Rattus norvegicus: one gene and its partners. The protein of the gene in region 1 purifies or fractionates together with the protein of each later gene. This does not show direct contact. Links are inferred from orthologs where the notes say so. Each region holds a gene or a part of one and is shown in the gene's direction. Other genes may lie near its edges.

Evidence for each region.
Region 2: the proteins of E2f1 (region 1) and Sirt1 purify together in Homo sapiens (affinity purification with western blotting; 3 studies listed by BioGRID and IntAct, with this or other methods). This does not show direct contact. The link is inferred for Rattus norvegicus from reciprocal best matches to the Homo sapiens genes E2F1 and SIRT1.
Region 3: the proteins of E2f1 (region 1) and Rbl2 purify together in Homo sapiens (affinity purification with western blotting; 3 studies listed by BioGRID and IntAct, with this or other methods). This does not show direct contact. The link is inferred for Rattus norvegicus from reciprocal best matches to the Homo sapiens genes E2F1 and RBL2.

Annotation. Positions count from the first base shown.
Region 1 is NC_086021.1:163,530,434-163,538,017, reverse strand, and holds the start of E2f1 (transcription factor E2F1), read left to right. Parts: upstream 1-2,454; 5' UTR 2,455-2,607; coding exon 2,608-2,862; intron 2,863-7,584. UniProt on the Homo sapiens protein: Transcription activator that binds DNA cooperatively with DP proteins through the E2 recognition site, 5'-TTTC[CG]CGC-3' found in the promoter region of a number of genes whose products are involved in cell cycle regulation or in DNA replication.
Region 2 is NC_086038.1:25,302,654-25,310,319, forward strand, and holds the start of Sirt1 (NAD-dependent protein deacetylase sirtuin-1), read left to right. Parts: upstream 1-3,299; 5' UTR 3,300-3,361; coding exon 3,362-3,773; intron 3,774-5,456; coding exon 5,457-5,573; intron 5,574-6,708; coding exon 6,709-6,950; intron 6,951-7,666. UniProt on the Homo sapiens protein: NAD-dependent protein deacetylase that links transcriptional regulation directly to intracellular energetics and participates in the coordination of several separated cellular functions such as cell cycle, response to DNA damage, metabolism, apoptosis and autophagy.
Region 3 is NC_086037.1:32,092,375-32,100,100, reverse strand, and holds the start of Rbl2 (retinoblastoma-like protein 2), read left to right. Parts: upstream 1-3,689; 5' UTR 3,690-3,755; coding exon 3,756-3,986; intron 3,987-6,592; coding exon 6,593-6,723; intron 6,724-7,726. UniProt on the Homo sapiens protein: Key regulator of entry into cell division. Directly involved in heterochromatin formation by maintaining overall chromatin structure and, in particular, that of constitutive heterochromatin by stabilizing histone methylation.

The DNA of each region.
Region 1 (7,584 bases):
TGCTTTCCAAATCACCACAGAGTCTACAGAACACTTTCCAGTCCCTATGCTTCTATCCTCATGCAAACTTGAGACAGCCAAGGCAAGATCTAGGTGCCCATTTTATTTTTTTAAACACAAAACTGAACTGAAAAGCATCCTTGGGAGTTGCAGTTTGCTTGGTTTATAACAAGATCTCATGTGCCCTGACTGCCTATATGGCCAAGGATGACCTAGCACTCTCCTGGACTTCCTCTATCTACCTGACCTGCTGGGGTTGCAGGTGTGTGCAACTATACCCAGCTGTAGGAATTGTAAATTTCGGCTCCACTCCACATTTTCATTGTAAAGGTATACCAATTTGTTTTCAAAGATGAACACATTATCTGGGATGGGCATAAGTGTTCCTTGTGTTTCTTTGTTTACATTTTTATTTATTTCTTCTTCTTTTTATTTTATTTATTTTATTTTTTTCGGAACTGGGGACCGAACCCAAGGTCCCCACTGAGCTAAATCCCCAACCCCTTCTTCTTCTTTTTAAAAAATATTTTATTTATTTAATGTATATGAGTACACTGCAGTTGTCTTCAGATACACCAGAATCCGTTACAGATGGTTGTGAGCCACCACGTGGTTGCTGGGATTTGAACTCAGGACCTCTGGAAGAGCAGTCAGTGCGCTTAACCACTGAGCCATCTCTCCAGCCCCTATTTATTTATTCTTGCTGTATCACAGTCCATGTCCTGGGACTTAATCTCTTCCAATCTTGACCAAAAGACTCTAAACCGGAACTGGGGATAGTGATCCAAACATGCAGTCTTAGCACTCAGGAGGCCATGCAGGAAGGTTACATTGATTCAGTTTGAGCTACTACATAGCAAGATTCTATTATCTTAAAAAAAAAAAAAGGTGTGTGTGTGTGAATAAACCAAGCATAATGGCTAACTCGTTCAATCCCAGACTTGGGAGGCAGAAGCAGGCATACTTAAGCGTGTTCCAGGACAGCCAGAGCCAGACAATGAGACCATGCCTCGAAAAAACAAAGAAACAAACTACCCCCCCCAAAAAAAACAAAAAAAAAGGGGGGCGGGGGCGGCCTGGGATTGATTCTAAATTGACCAAGGTTGGGTGGTTCAAAGTTAACCGATGCGTGGAAGATAAAGTAGTATGAGGTGATAGTGAAAGTACCCGGGCTTGAGAGCTCCTTGTAGCCTACACTGGACTTGGGGACTTGAATATTGTCAGCTACTCTTTTCTTTTTTTTTTTTTTTTTGGTTTTTTTTTTTTTTTTTTTTTTTTTCCGGAGCTGGGGACCGAACCCAGGGCCTTGAGCTTCCTAGGTAAGGGCTCTACCACTGAGCTAAATCCCCAGCCCCTGTCAGCTACTCTTCTTGTGGTCATCCCCACCCGCAAGGGCAGGAAGTATGTAGGTCTTGTTAAACCTTTCGTGTTTCGATTCCCAGTATTGGCAAGATGCCTGTCAGAGAGGACCACAATGCTGATCAGATGGGCTGACCTGAGCAATCAGAAATGCTGATGGAGGACCTCAGGATTAAAGGATCCCTCCATATGCACCCTCCCCACCCCTGCACCGCCCTCTGTGAGGCCTAACGTGGAGTTACTTAGTTCAATCTCTTCACATTGTAAGCATCTGCTGCCTCTCGGTTCCCTTTTTTCCTTTTCACTAAGTCAGGAGTCAAGGTCTGGGTTGAGTATGGGACAATAAACAGGCTCTCAGGCGTTTGTGATTTTTTTGAGACAGGGTCTCACTGTGTAGTCCTGAATGGCCTGAACTTGGAAAATCCGCCCGCCTCTGCCTCCCAAGTGCTGGGATTAAAGACAGGTGCCATTGTGGACTGACCAAACGAATGAACGATAACTGGGCGTTGGCTACTAAAGGAATTTCAGTAAAATGAGACTGAGATCAAAGCCACACATCCCTACTCATTTCCTGGCACCCCTCTTGGGCTTGGCTTCTGGGTGACAGGGAAGAACCCATGATGTGAACTAATGGAATAAGTGGGTCTTAAGACCGGAGATGTGGCTGAAGTGAACTTTGGAGGTGAGCCTGAGCGTGCAGAAGAAGCAGTTTCTGGACTGTAAACTGAGGGGGTGGAGACCACAGGTTGAGAGTTTAGGGGCTCATGCGGCATGTGGAGACTGCGGGACGTGCAGAACCAAGTACGAAGTTTGTTGCCTTCGCCAGACCCCGCCACCCATCGAGTGGGCGGTGAAGGGGGCGGGGTCCATTGCCCACGCCCCCTGCAGGGCACAGCGAGAGGCAGAAGGGAGAAGGCGCCCGGCACCGCCCGGACAAAGCCTGCGCGCGCCCCGCCCCGCGATTGGCCACCCCGCCCCTGGTCCCACCCTCCGTCGCCTGCCCCGCACGCTGCAACCAATGTCTGCTACCGAAGCCGACTTCGTCACAGCCACGCAGGCCAATGGAGGAGGCGTTCGGCGGCGCGTGGCTCTTTCGCGGCAAAAAGGATTTGGCGCGTAAAAGTGGCCCGGACTTTGCAGGCAGCGGCGGCCGGGGCGGAGCGGGATCGAGCCCTCGCCGCGGCCTGCCGTCATGGGCCCGCGCCGCCGCCGCCGCCTGCCTCCCGGGCCACGCGGGCCGTGAGTGCCATGGCCGTAGCCCCCGCGGGCGGCCAGCACGCGCCGGCGCTGGAGGCCCTGCTCGGGGCGGGCGCGCTGCGGCTGCTCGACTCCTCGCAGATCGTCATCATCTCCACCGCGCCCGATGTCGGCGCCCCGCAGGTCCCCACCGGCCCCGCCGCGCCGCCCGCTGGCCCTCGAGATCCTGACGTGCTGCTCTTCGCAACGCCGCAGGCGCCCCGACCCGCGCCTAGTGCACCGCGCCCGGCTCTCGGCCGCCCGCCGGTACGGACCCTAGGCGCGGGCGGGGGAGGGGCGGGCTGCAGCGCTGGGCGGTGCGGAGTCTGGGCTGGGCCTCGGGGCTCCGCCCCGGGGCGCGCGCTGACTGACTGCCTTGCCCTGTCTGTTTGCTGCGCCTTGCTCTGGGCCTCAGCGTCTTCACCAGAGCGGCAGGTTTATTAATGATAATGGCTCACGTGTATTCAGCTGGTGCTTGCTTATTGCACGCCCAGGCTTTGGCACACTTGAAGTCGGCCAAAATTCTCAACTCTGTTGTGAGCTGGGTGTTGTCACGTGCCCATCTGCCAGAGGGAGGAACTGAGGCCCAGAGACAGGGAAGTGCTTCACGCAGCTGCAGATGGTGGGGCTGGTATTTGAACTGATGGCGGCTGGCTTGCTGCAGAACCTATGGCTAGTTAGTGCGCACAGTTGCTTGATGGAGATGAAAGAGGGTGACTGTTGGAGACATCCTCGAGAGACCCTCCTTCGTGGCTCTGCCAGGTGCAGGCCTGGCCTTCCAGGCCTCTGGGGATAGGCCTCTTGATTGGGAGGCCTTCTCTGCAGGGGCGGGGTGCTGGGCCAGCTGCTGCAACCCTTCCTCTGCCTGTCCTTCCATCTGCCACCCTTCCAGCCCCTGGTTGCCATGGAACTTTATTAATCAGGCGGACAGACCCCTGAGACTCTGGAAGACTGGGTGGGCTGGGCCCCTGAGAAGGGGCCTCCAGTTCCTGGAGAGAGAAGACGTGGGAGGGAGATCCCTGGATAAAGTCTTTTCCTGATCCTAAGTAGCAAGACCAGTTTAGGCTGGGGGCCTAGAAAAGGCAGCGGAAGTGGAGAGTGGAACTTGGATCTAAGCAGGGGCCAGCTCAGCCAGTGGGCCACCAACTTTATTGTAGGGGTGGAGCAAGCAGGAGGTGTTCACAGCAGGGGGCTTGGAGCAAGCGGGAGGGGCCAGACCCAATACCGGAGTAGAAACTGTTCAACTCCTGGTGGGGGTGCGGGTGGCAGCTGGTCCCAGAGGCATCTTAGAGAAGGCCCATACCCCCTTTGGCCCAGTGCCCAGTGCTGCCTTCCTTCCGGAATCACCAAGATGCTAATAACAATAACAATAGCAACCACCATTGTTTTGAGGACGTTTTGGGTGCCAGGCTCTGTGCTAAGCACTTTACCCACTTAACCCTGTGGACAGCCTTACTTTTTCATCCTTCCATAGATGAGGAGGCTGAAGCCCACAAATGATGGAACTTCTTAATCATTCTTCTAGGGAGTGGTATTTCCTGATTGTTAAAGCCCTTTCCTCCCACTGAGGAGGCCGGCCAGTATTTGGTGGGTCAGCTGGCTTGCCTTCCCTCCACTCCACGGGCCTGTACCAGTAGGTAGAAGGTTGGGCCCTGGGCAGATATTCTACATTTGACTAAACATTGCATTCACTCAAGTTGTGGAGTTCGTGAGTCCCCATTATGTGCTAGGTGCAGAGGTACTTAAGGATCCCCTTCCCCCACGGTACTTAAGGCCCAGCAAACATTTTCTGTGGGAGAGGTTGACACCATCCTGGAGCCAAAGGCCAGGAATGCAAATCTGGATTTTGGCCTCTACTGACTTTGCTCTGGAATTTGGGGTGGGGGGGCAGTCCTTGAAATAAGCTACAGGCTTGGCTTCCACCCAGTGAGCACTTGCTGGGTGCTTCCTGTGTACCTCTCTACACCTCTGCAATTCAGACATTCTTCCTGCCCTACCTACCTTTACCTTGTCTGTGTGTGTGTGTGTGTGTGTGTGTGTGTGTGTGTGTGTGTTTATAGATCCTATCGGGGTGTATTGACTAGGGAGAAGCAGAGACAGGAGAATCCACATGTTCAAGGCCAGCCAGGGTTACCTAGAGTGAAACTGTACCTTAAAGGAAGTTGGTCTGGAGAGATGGTTTAGCCATTGAAAGCACTTGCTATTCTATATGACAACTTAAGTTTGATCACAGCCCAACACTGAGGTCACAGATGACCAACTCCAGTTTCGAGGGGTTTGATATTGTCTTCTCCTGTCCTTGGGTACCCATGTTCATATATAGTCATACGGACACAAAGTTCTTTTTAAAAAGAAAACAATTTAAAAAGCAAATTAGTTAAATAAAAATAAATTAAAACACCAACAGCCTATTTTGGTTAACTGACATCTTATAATCCAAGCAGGCAAGAATGAGGATACTGAGTCTTGAGTTCAAAGCCAGCCTGCACTACAAAGACCCTGTTTCAAAATGGTAACAGCAAGAAGCTGATGTTTCCATTATAATGTAGTACTTGTTTACTGTGGACAGTATGTAGTACCATACATTAAGTCTGTAAAAGACAGGCTTGGGGTTGGGGATTTAGCTCAGTGGTAGAGCGCTTGCCTAGCAAGCACAAGGCCCTGGGTTTGGTCCCCAGCTCCGGAAAAAAAAAAAAAAAAAAAAAAAAAGACAGGCTTAGAGTAGAAAGCTAGCTCTTCTTCAGGGCTCTTGGTTTAGGTGTGACACTGTTACTCTATTATATGAATCTCTTGCTGGTCACTGTGAGCACTTAACTGCTGTTGGGGATTGGACCCAGAATGGAATGCACACCAAATAAGTACTCTGCCAGTCCCCAGTCTTCAGAACTTTTGTTTTTAATAGTTCTAAAAGTTGCTGTGAGCCACGTGTGATGGCACCTTTATAATTCCAGCACTTAAGAAGTAGAGGTATAAGGATCAGGAGTTCAAGGTTTTCCTGTGCCTGATCCATGTTCAAACAGTACGTCATTCACATTGCCCAGAGGAGGTAACAGTCTGCCCTGGCTCTCCCACAGAAGCGCGCCTGTTTCTGAAACACACTCTGTCAGAAACTGAACTGGAGCAGCTCCTGAGCTTTTAGTCCAGGAAGGGACCATATATGTATTAGCCTGTCAGAGTGGTTTCCTTGTGTGTCTGTGAGAGCATTCTGTGCTGGCCTGGACCTGTCTGGGTCTGTTACTGAGACCACATGCTGTTCCAGGGGCTACATACAGCCTTTGTGGATGGGTGTTTGAAGCACTCAGTTATCAATATCTTCACCTGTGGTTTTTAGGATCTCAGTGTTGTCTAAAGATGAGTGACAGAAACACCATCAATCTGAGCCCTACTTTAAGGATGACATTGGAGATGGGCAAGGGCATCTGGGGCTGTGTCAGCCCATTGGGGTGCATATACCTGGATTTCTTCCTGGCTACAGGTCTTCCAAGGTGGAGACTGCCATACCTCCTACAGTCAGACAAAAGTTTGCTGAGGAAATGTTTGGGATTTAGTCACCGCCCTGCTCTCGCACAGACAGCAGAGGCAGTGTCTGCCTTTTTCTCATCGTCTCACTCTCATGTGCTGTCCTTTTCCTTGGCTTCCAGGAGTTGGTGGCAGGATGATGGTGGGGAGTCTTGGCGGACACTGAGGCCTGTGGCAGACACTGATGCAGGGGTTTATTGGTCCAGTGTCCAATGAATGACCTTTCTCCGGTGGAGGCAGTGGGCAGGGACAACAGACACATCTGTAGAAGTTGTATTGGATGGAGGAAAAGGCCAGGTTTGAGGCAGTACCGAGAGAGGACAGCAATTGCTCTCTTAAGCAATCGTGCAGGAGCCAGCTTCAGGTGTGTGGAGAGGGCATAGAATAGCGTTAGAGCAGGGCTTGGGAGAAGCTCATCCCCACAGTTCATGTGAGGAGTGCTGTTGGAAGGCTTTACTGAGGCAGAGTGATGTAGAGGGAGACCAGCATGGGGACAGCTGTCCTGTCCGGTGGGAGGGTGATAATGGCTGTGGGTAGAATTCTTGGCAAAAGAACGTGACAGGTGGTGGGTCAGGTTGAGAGGGTTTAGTTGAGAAAGGCCCGTGACTGGTGAAGGATAGCAAGTCTGGTCCGGTTAGTGTGTTTTGAGCTATCTGTGGGATTTCGGGGTCCTTCCCGTCACTGTGAAGTTAGAACTTAGGTTAGAGGGCATGGAGGTTAGCAGCTCAGGGTCTTTCTCGAAGACCTGGGTAGGGATTGTGGCTCTGCCACTTCTCTGTGGTCTTCTATGTAGGTTGTAAAGTGGAGGGTTGTGGTGTTGTCAGTTCAAAGAGCAGAGTACACTGAACACAGAGCAGTTGGTGAGCTCCAGCTGCTGCCATGGTTATAGATACGCAAATGAGCTAAAAGCTAGAGGCGGGAGCTGCCTGGGGGACCCAGACCCTCCCTTGGTGGCTGGAAGCACTGGTTGTATAGTCTCTGTAGGTTGGGACTTGAGGGAGATTTAGCTAGTGCTTCTAGCCTGAGGTGGAGTCCTGTTCCGCCAGAAAGGTCCCAGGCTGTAGTCAGAAGTGAGACTAAGGTTGCAAGCTTGCCCTGTTCCTCCTCACCTGGAGGAGGTCTCAGCTCTCTTGTCATAGGGGCTTATCCCCAGGGCTACTTGAGAGCATGGCACAAAGCTGTCTCCCTCCCCGTCACTTCAGAAGAAGCATCACTGTTGTAGTGACCAGTCTCAGAAGGGACACTTATCACTCTCGGCTTGCTTTAAGGGGGGAAAGTTAGCAAATATCTTTGAAAGCGCCAAGTCCTGGTGGCATGTGCCTGTAAGCCCGGTACTTGGGAGGTAGAGGCAGGAAGATAAGAAAGAAATTCAAGGTCATCTTTGGCTACATAGTGCCAGCCTGGGCTAAATAGTGAGACCTTGTATTTGTAGGAACTAAGGAGACTAATTGGTAGATTGTGTGGTAGCGT
Region 2 (7,666 bases), on another chromosome or scaffold:
GGATTGAACACAGAGCTTTGTGCATTCCTATGCAGTACTAAGGGTACAGTCCCCCAATTCTTGACTCTGGTTCCTGAACTACTCCATTCTGCTGACCTGAACGATACAACCTGCCCGTCTTCTTGGCGTATAGGTGCACCACTAACTTCTAGGAAGTTGGATGCAAGAAACAGTAAGTGCTACTTGCTTTCACGGTTAGCTTGTAAAAACCCTCCTAATGTATGTTCAAACGGCACAGCACTATACACGTTTCCTGCCTCCTGTATGTACTGTGTAGCTTGGAGATCCTCTTTTATAAGAAGAGCTTTTGGTTAGGAAAAGTGGGTTCTGTGATGTAAAAAGTTCAGTTTAGAGCATACTAATGGTTAGAATGACTGTGAGAACAGCTAGACCTGTTCCAGGGGAAGAGCTGTAAACACAGATGTGAACTTGTAAGCTCGAAGGCCCAGGGTGTGATAAGATTCAGGTAAGTGTTTTCAATGAGTGAAGATAGTGCTGGGAGTTTTTCTTGTTATAACTCAAAGTTGCTATGTAGTTGAGGATGAGGATGGCCTTGAAAATCTTGAACTTTTATTTTAAAGATTTATTTTATGTATATGAGTACACTGTTGCTGTCTTCAGACACACCAGAAGAAGGTGTTGGATCCCATTACAGATGGTTGTGAGCCACCATGTGGTTGCTGGGAATTGAACTCAGGACCTCTGGAAGAGCAATCAGTACTCTTAACCACTGAGCCATCCCTTCAGTCCTAACCTTGAACTTTTGGGCTTCCCACTTCAACCTTCTGAGTGCTGGGACTATGGGGCTGAACCATGACATTTGGCTTACACAGTGATGGGGTTTGGACATGGATCTAATGTACACTTCCAGACTCTACAATTAGGTTTTAAGTTGTGTGTGTGTGTGTGTGTGTGTGTGTGTGTGTGTGTGTACATCGTGCATGAGCAATACATGCATGATGCTATGGTGTGCTTTCCATCACGTGGGCTGTTCCCCACAAGTCAGTGTACCCATTTTTGTTATTTTTGATACAGGGTCTTTGACTATCTAGTCCTTGGTAGCCTAGAAATATGTAAAACAACCTGGCCTCAAACTCCTAGAGATCCACCTGCTGCTGCCTTAATAGTGCTGGGATAAACGTGTGTGCCACCGCGTGGAACCTAAAGATTAATATTACTGTTTGTTTTTGAGACAGGGTCTTACTATACAGTTCTGTCTGGCCTAGAACTTGCTGTGTAAGCTATGCTGGCCTCAGATCTCCATTCTGCCTCCTGAGCACTAAGGTTGAAAGTGTGTGCCACCACATCCATCTGGGCCTAAAGATTTTTATTAGTTGTGTGTGCACATGAGGGCAGTGCCCCTGGAGGTCAGAAGAGTCAGGAGCTGGAGTTACAGGTGGCTGTGAGCCTCCTGGGATGGGTGCTGGGAACCAAATTGGGGTTCTCTGAAAGAGCATTGCATGTGCCAGTCTTTGAGAGAGGGCCTGCGTAGCCCTGGCTAACCTGAACTTCATATATAGACCAGGCTGCCTAGACTTGACTGCTTCTGCCCCAAGTGCTAGGATGTATATCGTTATGCCAGGCTCCTGTTGTAAAAGTGCTGTTGGAAAAGTTGTGTGCCACTATGTCTAGCTAGTGTTTTGAGATGGGGTGGGCTCAAATTCACTACGTAATGAAAATGGCCTCAATTTCCCGATCCTGCTGCCTCTAAGTCAAGATTTGGGGAAACCTGTCCATGGTAATTGAACCATGTGCAACTGAGTCCTAGTGATCCAAATGGATATAGGTGCTCAGAATTTCTTCATAACTGGAGAGCAAAGGGGCTTAGAGTTGTGAAGGAACTAAGGATTTTTTAAAAAAGTTATTTAAAGATGTATTTTTATGCTGGGCTTGCTGGTGTATGTCTTTAATCCCAGCAGTTCAGGAAGCAGAAGCAGGTGGCCTCTGAGCTCGACCCCAGGCTGAACAGCCAGGGCTATAGAGAAACCTTGTCTTGTAAAACAACAACAAAAAGAATTTTTATGTTTTGCTTTTTGGCTGTGTTTACCAAAAGACATATCAGATCTGAAGTTGTCATGTGGATGGTGGGAGTCAAACCTAGGGCCTCTGTAGGAGCAACAGGTGCCAATAACTACAGAGCCATTTCTACAATTCTAGAACTGTTTTTGTTTGTTTGTTTGTTTGTTTGTTTGTTTGTTTTTTGAGGCAGGGTTTGTGTAGCCTTGGCTGTTCTAGAACTAGTCAGAGAACCTCCTGTCTCCTCCAGAGCGCTGGGCTTAAAGACCTTGTGCCATCAAGAGTGCCTAAGATTTTTAAAGTTAGTGTCATTTACTTTACACCTGGCTAGCTGATTTCTCATGGTCTATCGCTTATAAATTTCATTTCTGACACGACGTCTTATGTATTCCTGGCCCTTTTTGAATTTCTTATGTAGTTGAAGACGGCCTTCGACTTCTTACCCTCCTGCCTTCAGGGTTGTCTGGCAAGTGTGACTTTACAACTGAGCTACAGTCTCAGTCCTGGTCCTGTCATTTTAGAGATGATTAAAAAATGGGTTTAGAAGAGGTTCAATCAACTGCTCAAGTGCCAAGAGCCAGGCCCAATTTGACCAATTTGACAGAAGTTTGTTAAGAACCAACTACTCTCCCTCCTGACCTCTTGCTGCTCTACTTGATTCAAGAGATTAATTTTACAAGTGACTAAAAGCGAGGTGCTGAGGACCTAGTGGGTCCAGAGAGCAGATGGGCGGATCCTCAACTGCCAGATCTTTCCAGAGGGCACAGGCCCCGAGGGCTGGCTTTGGCATTCCATTGCACTGGATAAGAAGGTCGGGAGGAAGCGCAATCTCCTGAGGAGACCGCAGGGGTAAACTGAGAAAGAGCTGTCACAAAACAAGCGTAAGGCAGGTGGAGGAATTCTCCTCAGGAAGGCCGGCGTCGGCCCGCTTGGGCTCCTTTCTGCCTCTCCGGGCTTGGAAAAGCCCGAGGTAAAAGCCGACTTGAGGCGAAAGCAGGCAGGCAAGGTGCACGCGTGAGGCCCAGGTGGGAACTGGCGGCGCCATTCGCAAACTTGGGCCACCGCGGCGATCCCCCGCGGGCCGGAGGCGCGGAGAGGCCGCCGAGGAGAGCCCGGCCGCCTTGGGTGGGGCCGGGAAGGGCCCAGGCCGCGGGCGACGCCCGGCCACGTGACCCGGCGTGTTGTGGTCCGGCCCGCGTGGGTGGCGGGAGCGGCGCGGGGGCGGGGAGGGGCGGGTCACGTGACGGGGTTTAAATCTCCCGCAGCCGAGCCGCGGGGGCGCCAGTGCCGCGCGTCGAGCGGAGCAGAGGAGGCGAGGGCGGAGGGCCAGAGAGGCAGTTGGAAGATGGCGGACGAGGCGGCGCTCGCCCTTCAGGCCGGCGGCTCCCCTTCCGCGGCGGCCGCCATGGAGGCCGCGTCGCAGCCCGCTGACGAACCGCTCCGCAAGAGGCCGCGCCGAGACGGGCCTGGCCTCGGGCGCAGCCCGGGCGAGCCGAGCGCGGCGGCGGCGGCCGCGGCGGCTGCCGCGGGGTGTGAGGCGGCGAGCGCCGCGGCCCCGGCGGCGCTGTGGCGGGAGGCAGCAGGGGCGGCGGCGGCGAGCGCGGAGCGGGAGGCCCCGGCGACAGCCGCGGCCGGGGACGGAGACAATGGGCCCGGCTTGCGGCGGGAGCCGAGGGCCGCCGACGACTTCGACGACGACGAGGGCGAGGAGGAAGACGAGGCGGCGGCGGCTGCGGCGGCAGCAATCGGCTACCGAGGTGAGTCCGCGCGCGGGACCGCGCAGCCGCGTCCCTCCGCGTCCCCGCCTGTGACCTGGTCCCAGGCTGCCCGGGGCCCTGATAGCTGCGAGGGCTCCGCGGCGGCGGCGCAGCTCGGCCCTGGCTCGGCCGCGCGCCGCCGAGCTCGCCAGCCCTACTGCGGAGCCGCGCGCGGACTCGCCGCTCGCTTGGGCCGCCTTGCGCTGCTGCGCGCAGTCGCCGGGGCAGCAGGCTCTCGCAGTTGTCGTTAGAGTTAAGTTTTTCCCTCCCTCGTCTTCGTTTACCGAAGCGCCTTTATTAAAGTTGTGTTTTTCCTTGTTGCACACTTTGGTTTGCAACTTTGGGACTGTCCCGTGGATCGACCTGCGATTGCGTTTGTATACTGACACCTGTGTTGCTTTTTTTTTTTTTTTTTTTTTTTTGTCTGATGGACCTGTCTTTTGAAATTAGAAATTTTTTTTATAGACCAAAGCTGTTTCGTGAGGCACAGTCTTAAAAATGTAAGGAAAGAGCTATTCCTAAAACCATTACTTTACTGCGATTGCATTTATCACTTCGGTATAGAAGAGTGATAGTTGTACAGTACTTTCGTGAGCTTTTTTTTCTTCGAAAATCATGTCCTCACAACATTTTTAGATTAAGTATTTCTTACATATTTGCAATTCTGAAACAAACCTGCTTGGCTTTGCCCTATTGACTCCAAACGTTTGGGGGAGTTTGTTTGTTTTTGTTTTGCCTTTTTTATATAACATCACTTACTGTTTTCCTTGAAAAGCTTTGTCCAGAATTTATCGGAGTCTGTCAGTTGCCTCCTAAATGTTTGGACCATCTAATGGCACACTGGCCATGAATTAAAAAACAGAACAGCATGTTAGGGACTGGAATAGTAAGTAGTCCTTGTCAGCTGTTAGAGGGGAAACGAGATGCATAAAGTATGTTCCATGTTCTTTAAAGCATAAATTTGCCAACACCGGGGAGGCTGAAGCAGGAGGATTGCTACTTGAAGGGCTACAGAAAGAGCTGTAGGGCAGTGAGGACACAGCTAGAGATTGATTTTTATCTCTGACATGTAGAGGTAATTTCTATTTGATGCATTTCATGAAGTTGTGTATTTCTTTGTCCTGGTCCTGGAACCCAGAGCCTGTTTTGAAAGCATACGTCCGTTGGGCTACACAGATTTTATTTTATTTTATTTTTTTTTTTTTTAAAGATGTATTCATTTATTATATGTAAGTACACTGTAGCTGTCTTCAGACACACCAGAAGAGGGCATCAGATCTCTTTAGAGATGGTTGTGAGCCACCATGTGGTTGCTGGGAATTGAACTCAGGACCTCTGGAAGAGTAGTCGGGTGCTCTTTACCACTGAGCCATCTCTCCAGCCCCACAGATTTTATTTTTGTGTTGTGTGCCTTCGTTTTGGATTTTGAGGTAGGGTCCCCGTTTAGCCCAGGCTGGTCCTGGAACTATTTTGTAAGGTCAGGCTGGTTTACAACGTCTGTGCCTTCCAGTTGCTGGAATTACAGATGTGTGTGGGTCTATGCCTTTCTGGGTTTTGTTTTTGTCTCAAAAACTTGTGTCTCACTGTATAAGCCAAACCGGCCTCAAAGTACCTGGGATTGCAGGTATGGACAGCAAGCAGCTGGGGATTGTCTGAGCAGCAGCTTTTTGATCTCTTTGACAGACAACCTCCTGTTGGCTGATGAGATCATCACTAATGGCTTTCATTCCTGTGAAAGTGATGACGATGACAGAGCATCACACGCAAGCTCTAGTGACTGGACTCCAAGGCCACGGATAGGTATGCTTTAGGCATGTGCACCTTTGAAACAATCACCCTTCCTTCCTTCCTTCCTTCCTTCCTTCCTTACTTCCTTCCTTCCTTCCCTCCCTCTTTCCCTCCCTCCTTCCCTCCCTTCTTCCCTCCTTCCCTCCTTCCGGAGACAAGGTATTTTATTATAGCCCAGGCTAGTTCAGTTGCCCTGCTGTTTTTTTTTGCAGCAGCCTTTGGAGTGTACCAAGGCTCTTTTTCACTTTTTCTTCTCTTTCTCTCCTTTCTTGATTTCTTTGACATTTTCATGTAAAAATGGCTTTAAACTCATGGAGTCTAGGATGAAAGGATGACATTGAGCTGATATTCCTAACTTTATCAGCAGCCCAGAGTGCTGGGATTATAGGTGTGCTGTACCATGTCCCTTTGTCAGTGGCAAAGGATAGTCCTCCCGTCTTTTTTCTTGTATACTTTCATGTACCAGTCTTTGGGGTTGTTTGTTTGTGGCTGTTGTCTGCTTGCCTGTTGAGAAAGGATCACTTATAGCCTAGCCTGGCTTGAACTCATTGACATGTGTAGCCAGCACTTATTGGCCTTGAATATCTGAGCTTGTGTACAGATGCTGGGGATTACAGTTATTTGGTACCACCCCCACAGCTGCTTTTGTACCCACTTTACCATTTAGATTTAATTGCAAAGGTATTGGTAAGATTCTTTTTTTCTTGGCTTCCTGTATGCTAATCCCTGAGCTCACCAAGTCCCCCTAACCTTTAAAATACTTAAAACATCTAAGCTTAGTCAAAATACCTAGACAGTCCAGGTAGTGGTGGCATGCACCTTTTTAATCTCTGCACTCAGGAAGCAGAGGCAGGAGAATCTCTTGAATTCTAGGCCAGCCCGATCTACAGAGCAAGTTCCAGGACAGCCAGGGCTATGCAGAGAAACCCTGTCTCAAACCAAACCAACTAACCAAGCAAAAAAACCCTTATACCTAAGCACTTCCTCCCCAAACTCTGGATTAGTCAGATTAGTTAGGGATATGACAGGAAATATCTTTAAATTATATTCTTTGCATATAAATGTATCGATTGCTACCTCATTGGTTGAAAATATAGAGCACTTCCATTAGAAGGGGATGACGGGACTCTTTCTTCCCTTAATATAGGTCCATATACTTTTGTTCAGCAACACCTCATGATTGGCACCGATCCTCGAACAATTCTTAAAGATTTATTACCAGAAACAATTCCTCCACCTGAGTTGGATGATATGACACTGTGGCAGATTGTTATTAATATCCTTTCAGAACCACCAAAGCGGAAAAAAAGAAAAGATATTAATACAATTGAAGATGCTGTGAAGTTACTACAAGAGTGCAAAAAGATAATAGTTCTGACTGGAGCTGGGGTAAGTAAGACACATGAAAACAGTAAAGAGAAAAAGCTAGTATATATTTTATTCCTTTTCCAGTTAATTTTTTTGTTTGCTTTGCTTTTGATGTAGTAGTCTTTGTTCATAAAAACTGAGGACAGCAGCATTTGCTAAACTAGTTCAGTGTTTTGAAAAGTTTAACAACTTTAAATCTTTGTATATTTATAGTACAATTGGTAAGTGGAATTACGGGGTTTTTTGTTTGTTTTAAGATCATGTGTGAGAGAGAGAAGGGGGAGAAAGGAGGAGGAGAAAGAGGAGAAACACACACACACACAGAGATTAATTGATTGATTGATTTTTGCCTATATGCATACATGTGCATGGTATGCCTGGTACCCCACAGAGGCCACAAATGAGTATTGGGTTTCCAGGAATGTGGGCCACCATGTGGGTGCTGGCAAACGTGAGTTCTCTTTAAGGAGCAGCAAGTTCTCTTTCATGGCTAGGCTCTCTCTCTAGCTCCTGGACTTGTTTGGTTTTAATTTTATGTGTATGGGTGTTTTATCTGCATGTATGCTTCTCTGCCATTGTGTGAAGTGCTTAAGGAGTCCAGAAGGCATCAGATCTCCTGAAACTGTAGTGATAGATGTTTGTGAGCCTCCAAGTCCTCTGCAAGAGCATCAAGCCACCTTTTCAACCCCTAGAGCTCTTACACACTGAATCCTGGCTCCTCAAGATGACTTAGAAAA
Region 3 (7,726 bases), on another chromosome or scaffold:
ACACACACACACACACAAAAGCAACTCTTTTTAAGAAGAAGAAGAAAGGAGCTGGAGAGATGGCTCAGTGGTTAAGAGCACTGACTGCTCTTCCAGAGGTCCTGAGTTCAATTCCCAGCAACCACATGGTGGCTCACAACTATCTGTAAAGAGATCTGATGCCCTCTTCTGGTGTATCTGAAGACAGCTACAGTGTACTCATATATAATAAATAAATAGATCTTTTTAAAAAAAAAAAAGGAGGAGAAGAAGAAGAAGAAGAAGAAGAAGAAGAAGAAGAAGAAGAAGAAGAAGAAGAAGAAGAAGAAGAAAGAAATAGTACCCATGTAATTCCAGTCCCAGAGGATCTGACACCCTCCTTTGACCTCTGTGGGTACCAGGCACACATACAGTGTACAAACACACATGCAGGCAACACACCCATATGCATAAACTAAATCAATTTATAATTCTTTTAAGGAAGACAGATACACTTTATAGTCACTCATTCTCTCTGCGACTAGCCATGTGGGATGCAGCACCTCAGGTTCTCATTGCTTGTGAGAGGCCTTGAGAGTCACTGGGTCAAGCTCCCAACTGAGAGAGGGTGGAGAATTTTTGTTTTTCTTTTTGGTCCCATTATTGGGGCCTTTTTTTTTGTCTCTACACTTCCCCCCACAACAGGATATTCAGGTAAAATTTTTTATTAAAGATTAATTTATTTATTTTATATATGTGAGAGCATCAGAACCCATTACAGATGGTCATAAACCACTTTGTGGTTGCTAGGGATTGAACTGGGGATTGAACCGGAAGAGCAGTTGGTGCTCTTAACCACTGAGCCATCTCTGCAGCCCCCGGAGAAATCTTTGGCAGGGGCGTTAAGACTTCTTTTGAAACTGCTCCAGAGCAGAAGAGGGAAGGAGCTTCTCCACATTGCTGGTCCGTCCACGGCGTTGCTGTAGTCGTATCTGGAGGAGGGAGGCGATCACGGGAGGTTAAAGGTCAGACTGTGACATTGCTCGCAGACTAAGAGGGCCTTGGTGCAGGAGACAAGTGTGAGCAGGGACAGTAATGATCATTATTTCTGCGGGAAAGTCACCTGGAGCTTAACGGCCTGTAGTCTAGACTATACCAAGTGTGCCAGTGGGTTGGTTGTAAGAAGGGGCGGAAGGCAGAGAGCAAGAAGCAGCAAGAGCAGGGGCTGTGGGAACTAAGGCAGCCCAAACACCTGGGAAAATCTGCCTAGGAGCCATCTTACTCCATAGGTCTGCTCACCAGAAGGCAGCCTTCGGGGGAGTCGTGGTCCTTCAGTGAAGGTTGCTAGGAGTGAGGGGTTCACAAGACTACTCTCCCCAAGGTCATTTTCTTCTATGGCTTAGCCACTGCTAAGTTTCTCCTGTCCCTGTAAATAGCCCCTCTCCCCTGCTCCTATGAAAAGCCCGAATGAAACTCACTGGGTCATGACATAAATAAATGCATGAGAGAGAGAAGAGGCTGGCAGGAACACGGGAAGAGGAGAACTAGAGCACTCTGGGAAGTAAATAAGATCAGACTATACACGTGCACGGAGGAATCATACTTGTTAGGTGGAATTAATATATATCAATATGCACAACTGTAAAATCCTGTAATTATTTGAAAGTCATGAGGCAGGATAGCTAATTCTGACAGAAAGCGGACATTTAGTGCAGGTGCCACAGAGGCTAGAAGAAGGCATAAATACCCTTGAGGCTGGGGTTCCAGGTGGCTGTGCATGTGACATGGCTGGCTGGATTCAAACTCAGGTCTTTGGGAAGAGCAGCCAGTGCCCTTAACCACGGAGCTGTCTCTCCAGCTCATAAAATTGTTGAAATAGCTAATGGATAATGACTTAAATCCAATGTCCTTGTGACCTAGACGTAAGTATCCTTTTGACCAGTATTGTTTGTGCACCTGTGCCTGTGTTCGAATACATTGGTGTACATATTTAAGTCTGTGCACATGTGTTTGGAGACCATAGAATAGCCTCGTGTTACCTCCCAGGCCCCCCTCTTTTTCACATCCTGTCTCTCACTGTCCAGCAAGTGAGACTTGCCCCAGGACTCCACCAGCTTATATGGAAGCCACTGCTGAGGTTACAAGCCAACCCACGATTTCTGGTTTCTAACACCCTCCCTAGGGGTTGGGGTTCGGTCCCCAGCTCAGGAAAAAAACAAACAAACAAACAAACAAAAACACCCTCCCTACACACACACACACACACACACACACACGCACACGCACACACACATGCATGCACACACATATGTGACTTATAAGGGTTGATCTCTGGTGAGAGATGTTTTGCCACCGAGAATCTCCCCAGCCCTTGTCAATCAAATGTGCTCATCTCTGCTAGATTCTCTTCTCCACCGGCAAGCCCATGCAATAAAGTTTCTTTTCCAAGAACAAATTCTTAGGGATTCACCTCACATCTAAGCTTAGTTAGAGATTCAGTAGCTTTAACACCTCAAGTCACAAACACTGATGCTGAGCCCCTTGGGTGCTGTTAAATTTCAGACCTGGGACAAATGGCTGAGGTGACTAACATCTCAAAGAGAACCTGGCTGCTGGGTTCTCCCTGTAACCCTCAACCTCCACCTGTTACCCTTGCCAGCCTCCTGCTTTTCCCTATATCATCCAGACATTTTAGTTTCTAGCTCTTTGTTCCTTCGGGCCTCCTGACTACTGCACCGGATTCCCCTCTCTCCCCTCTCTCCCCTCTCTCCCCTCTCTCCCCTCTCTCCCCTCTCTCTCCTCTCTCCCCTCTCTCCCCTCTCCTCCCCCTCTCATCCCCTTCCCCCGTCATGTGGCTCAGGGTCTTGTCCTCTGTGGACTCACCTAAACATTCCTGCTCTGCACTCTTCCTTTTATCTATAGTAAACTTTACCCTCTGCCTCACCTAGGAGCGGTTATATGATGGCTAATATAAATCTTCAGTTATTCTTGAAAACGCATTCATGATTGTTTGGTTGAGGGTTTCTTTGTTTTGCTTTAGTTTGGTTAGTGAGATCAATCTTAGCTCACTATACCTTGGCCATAGATAGTATTGACATAGGAGTCTCACTTGAGGAATCCTCTCTGTTGGGTTGGTCTGTGGGTCTTGCCTAGGCAGGTGGGCAGCCGCGGAGGTGGAGGCTAGGGGTTTTATTAGGAAAGTAGCTGATCAAGCAAGAGGGAACTATCCAGTAAGCAGCGTCCTGTGTTAGCCTCCCTCAATGATGGACTGTAAAGACTAATATGAAATAAGTCCTTTCCCCTCCGAGCTGGTTACAGTCAGTGTTTATCTCAGCAACAGTAACGTGAACTAGAAAAGGCAGCCAAACTATTATCTTTATTTTGGACCTTTTAGCTTCCTCCTCTAGGAGGAGGAAGTGTTGTAAAGAGCTTGTATACTAAAGCTTCTCCTGTCGATATTTTTTGGTCCTTTTCTCTTCAAAAGAACCTTATGAATGGCCTCACTATTGAGAGAGGCTTTAAAAAAAATGGGAGAGGGCGCGTTCACTCGCTCCTAAATGAAGAACAGCGCATTTTTGCTTTCTTCTTCCATGACTTTTGGTTCCCCTGATAGCCCGGCCAAGACTACATTTCCCAGCAGGCCATGCTCAGACCTACGGGTGCCCACATGGGACCTAGAAACTCTGGGGGCGGCACAGTAGCATTACGGGCTGCTGACGGGCCGGCGCTTCGCGGTTTGAATGGCTGTGGGCCCGGGCCCTAAGCTCATCTGAAGAGCCGCGGCCTCCGGGTGTGCCATGGCATCTGGAGGCAACCAGTCGTCACCTCCCCCTCCTGCTGCTGCAGCCAGCTCAGAGGAAGAGGAGGAGGATGGCGACACCGCGGACCGGGCGCAGCCCGCAGGGTCCCCAAGCCATCAGATCCAACAGCGGTTCGAAGAGCTGTGCAGCCGCCTTAACATGGACGAGGCGGCACGCGCCGAGGCCTGGAGCAGCTACCGCAGCATGAGCGAGAGCTACACGCTGGAGGTGCGTGCTCAGATCCTCCGCGGAAGTCGGGGACTCGGGGTGGCTCTGGGGTCACTTGGTCGTTTGCACCGCACCATTGCTGTGCAGCCGTCTTAGGAGACGCATTAAGTTTCCGGCTTGCTTCCGTGTGAGAACGGCTTAGGATTGTTGCCCCCCAACCCCGGCAATGAAAAGCGGGTGTAGACACACAACATTTGTTGCTGAGCACGGGCACTCTTTTTGGCTGTCATCCAGGTGTAGGCTTGTTATGTTCCGTTCTTGGGACGGGGCTTGCAGTTGACGAAAATGGCTCTTTGGGCCAGTGTCTGTCAACTCTGCAGGCACCTCCCCTGTGTGGGCCAATGGGAAGTGACACGGAAGTCCGGATTGTTTATCGCTGCCTGTGCGGATGGCCCTTTGCTTTTATATATAGCTTCTGAAAGAGAGGGGCAAAGAGGCCCCCGATCCGAAGGCTAAACAAGATGTTATTTAACTATAATACGATGGCTGGACTTGTGCCGTTCTTCTGAGTTGGTTTATTTCTATTTTTTAAAAACCGTCACACATTGAATTTCCCTCTCTCCATTTGTTAACACCCACAAAAAAAAGAAATAGGACATCTTCAGACCCAGATCTGAGTGACTCTGGGCAAGTTTGCAACCACAGTGAAACTCAGTTTGGTTGTGTAAGCAGTTTTGTTATTTGTGCCCACCTCAAAGTGCTGACCTAAAGCTTAACTAAAGCAATGTGTGTATGCGTGCAGATAATTGCATATACTGAAGCCGTCTGGCTGAAGAGGCTGTCGCCTTCCTCCTGACTTAGTGTTCCCTGGAACCAGGCAAAGAGGGGAATTTCGGGCTTGAAGGACATAGAGACCCCCAAACGAACTCTTACTTCACCTTAGAGAGGGCACTGTAAATTAGCAAGAATAAGCACTATAACATAGCAGAGGCTTCAATTCACAGAAACGAAGTCAATATGAAGCCTGGTGTCGCATATGCAACTGACATTTAACAGATGCCTAGTAAATGTGTGTGTGTGTGTGTGTGTGTGTGTGTGTGTGTGTGTGTCCCCGGTGGATCCTGGGGGGTCCATCAGATCTGCAGTTTGTCACCTAGCACCTTTACTTGCTCAACCTGCTGGATTAGTAAATTATTTTTGAGAACATATTCACTAGTTCTTGTTTGGCCAAGGCTTTCCATTTATTTGTTTGTTTATTATTTATTTTTTTTTAATTTGGCTTGTTTAGTGAGGTTTTAATCTTGATTCTTAGCCCAGTTTACCCTTGTGATAACTTCAGTTGTCAATTTGACACACTTGGGAAGAGGGAGACCTCACTGAGGAATCGTCTCCCTCAGATTGACAGCGGGCATGCCTGTGGCCATGTTCTTAGTTGCTAAGTGATGTCGCCCACTGTGGGCTATGCTACCCCTCATGGTCCTGGGCTGTACACAGAAGGCAGCATTGCGTAGTTCAGCTCTTGCCTCCAGGTTCCTGCCTGGAGTTCCTGACTGTAACCTGTAAACTAAATAAACCTTTCGTCCCCAAGTTGCTTTTAGCTGTGGTGTTTATCACAGTGCATCTCGAACAACCTTATACTGGCATGAATATCTGTTCACTTTGGAGTATTTCCTGAGCCCCTATCTCTTGCATTGTAGCATCCTCATGTATAAGACTTTTTTTTTTCCTTTTCAGGGGATGATTTAGTTATAGGTTCTCTCATCTCCCTTAAGCCCCCCCCCCCTTTTTTAGAACAAAGATGACAATTTAACTGCTTACCTGTATTCTTCCTAACAGATCTTGATGGAAATAAAACTCAGTAGTTGAAAAGCTCAGTTTCCCTTGAAATCATATAATTGGGGAAATCGTGACAACATGGGGTTGAGGGTGTGCTGTAGCGGACTGTGTCTGGTGGTAAGGCCTTGAGTTCTAATACCCATCAGTACCAAAACCAAAAACCAAAAACCAAAACTGTCCTCCAAACCAAACACCGTATGAAACCATTGCTCAGAGCTGTGCTTAAGTGGAGGAGAGAGGACTTGATGGGTGACATACCATGCAAGCATGTGGACCTGAGCCTAGATCCTAACATCCTTGCTGAAAGCTGGGGTAGATATCATGCTACAGTTTGGGAATTCAGGCAGTGCAAAGGAGGTGCTATGTTGTCTGCATCAAAATGACTGTTGTCTCACCCAGAAGCACTGTGTCACAAGGGTGTCAGTATGGTAGGGTTCCTTGGGCATCTCTCTGTGTAGAACTGGCCACTGCCATATTCTCTCTCAGCATGTCAGTTGAAGGGAGGCACACGCTTTGTATGCTGGTTTATGACATCCTCAAAGATGAAGGCAGTCGGTATCAGCATTCCCTTCTGTGACCTTTGAGATTGTATAGCATCACTTTTACCTGTGGTATTAATAAAGACCATCATGTACAGGGGCATAAGACTCTGCCCTGCTTCAAGGTAAAGGAACAGAGACAGTACCATGCATGGACGAATGTCAATGTCACATACTAGAAGAGGCCGTGGGCAAGGGCCGTCATAGAAATATCACTTTCGATATGAATGCACGAAGTTTTCCATTGAAGCACACGGAAGTCATTAGCTAAAACTCTTTTTTCTCTTTCAGGGAAATGATCTCCATTGGTTAGCATGTGCCTTATATGTGGCTTGCAGAAAATCTGTTCCTACTGTGAGCAAAGGGACTGCTGAAGGAAACTATGTGTCTTTAACTAGAATCCTTCGATGTTCTGAGCAAAGGTAATTATGTTAGAGCTTGAAAAGTAGGATGCTGCTAAAATTAAGAAAGCTTAGACACCACACTGATAATGGAAATTCTCTCTGTTTACTATTTTCTGAGCATCTAACATGTACACAGCTGAGTGTAGAAACTGAGTTGTGGTTTCCTTTACCATTTCGGAGTCAGGATCGCAGTGTACGAACATGAGTGTATTCGTGTTGTAATGCATTAAAGGTTATAACTTATTGCCTAATATTGCTTTAAGTTTAAATAAAGAGACCGAGAAGCTTTTGAAGATACCATGGATTTAAAAGGTAAATAAATATAAATTATTAGGTATTCTGCATAGAACTTATTTTTTTTAAGATTTATTCATTTATTATATATAAGTACACTGTAGCTGTCTTCAGACACACCAGAAGAGGGCATCAGATCTCTTTACAGATGGTTGTGAGCCACCATGTGGTTGCTGGGAATTGAACTCAGGACCTCTGGAAGAGTAGTCGGGTCCTCTTAACCGCTGAGCCATCTCTCCAGCCCAGAACTTATGTTTTAATGCATGTGAAATGTGTAGTAAAATTGGACCTGCGTCTTCTCTGATCCTAAAGAAACTCCTACACACATCGTGCATACCAAGATGCTTATGGCAACATTCAAAAATTCATGGTTTTTTATGTGTATGCATGTTTGCATGTATATGTGTGTACCACATGTGTTCCGGTGCCTGTGGAGGTCAGAAGGCATTGGATCTCCTGGAACTGGAGTTACAGATGGTTGTGAGCTGCGGTGTGGCTGCTGGAACAGAACCTCAGTCCTCTGCCAAGAGCAACAAATGTTCTTAGCCTCTGAGCCCCTCTCCAGACCTGCACTATTTTATTAAAGGAAAATTCGAAGTAATCGGTCTCTGTTCATTGAGTGAATGCAGAAAGTTATTGAATGTTCATAGGAAGGAATTGTTTTAGTAATTAAACTTGTTAGATATTTCCATGTATTAACATTAATGAGCCTCAGAAACATTAAATG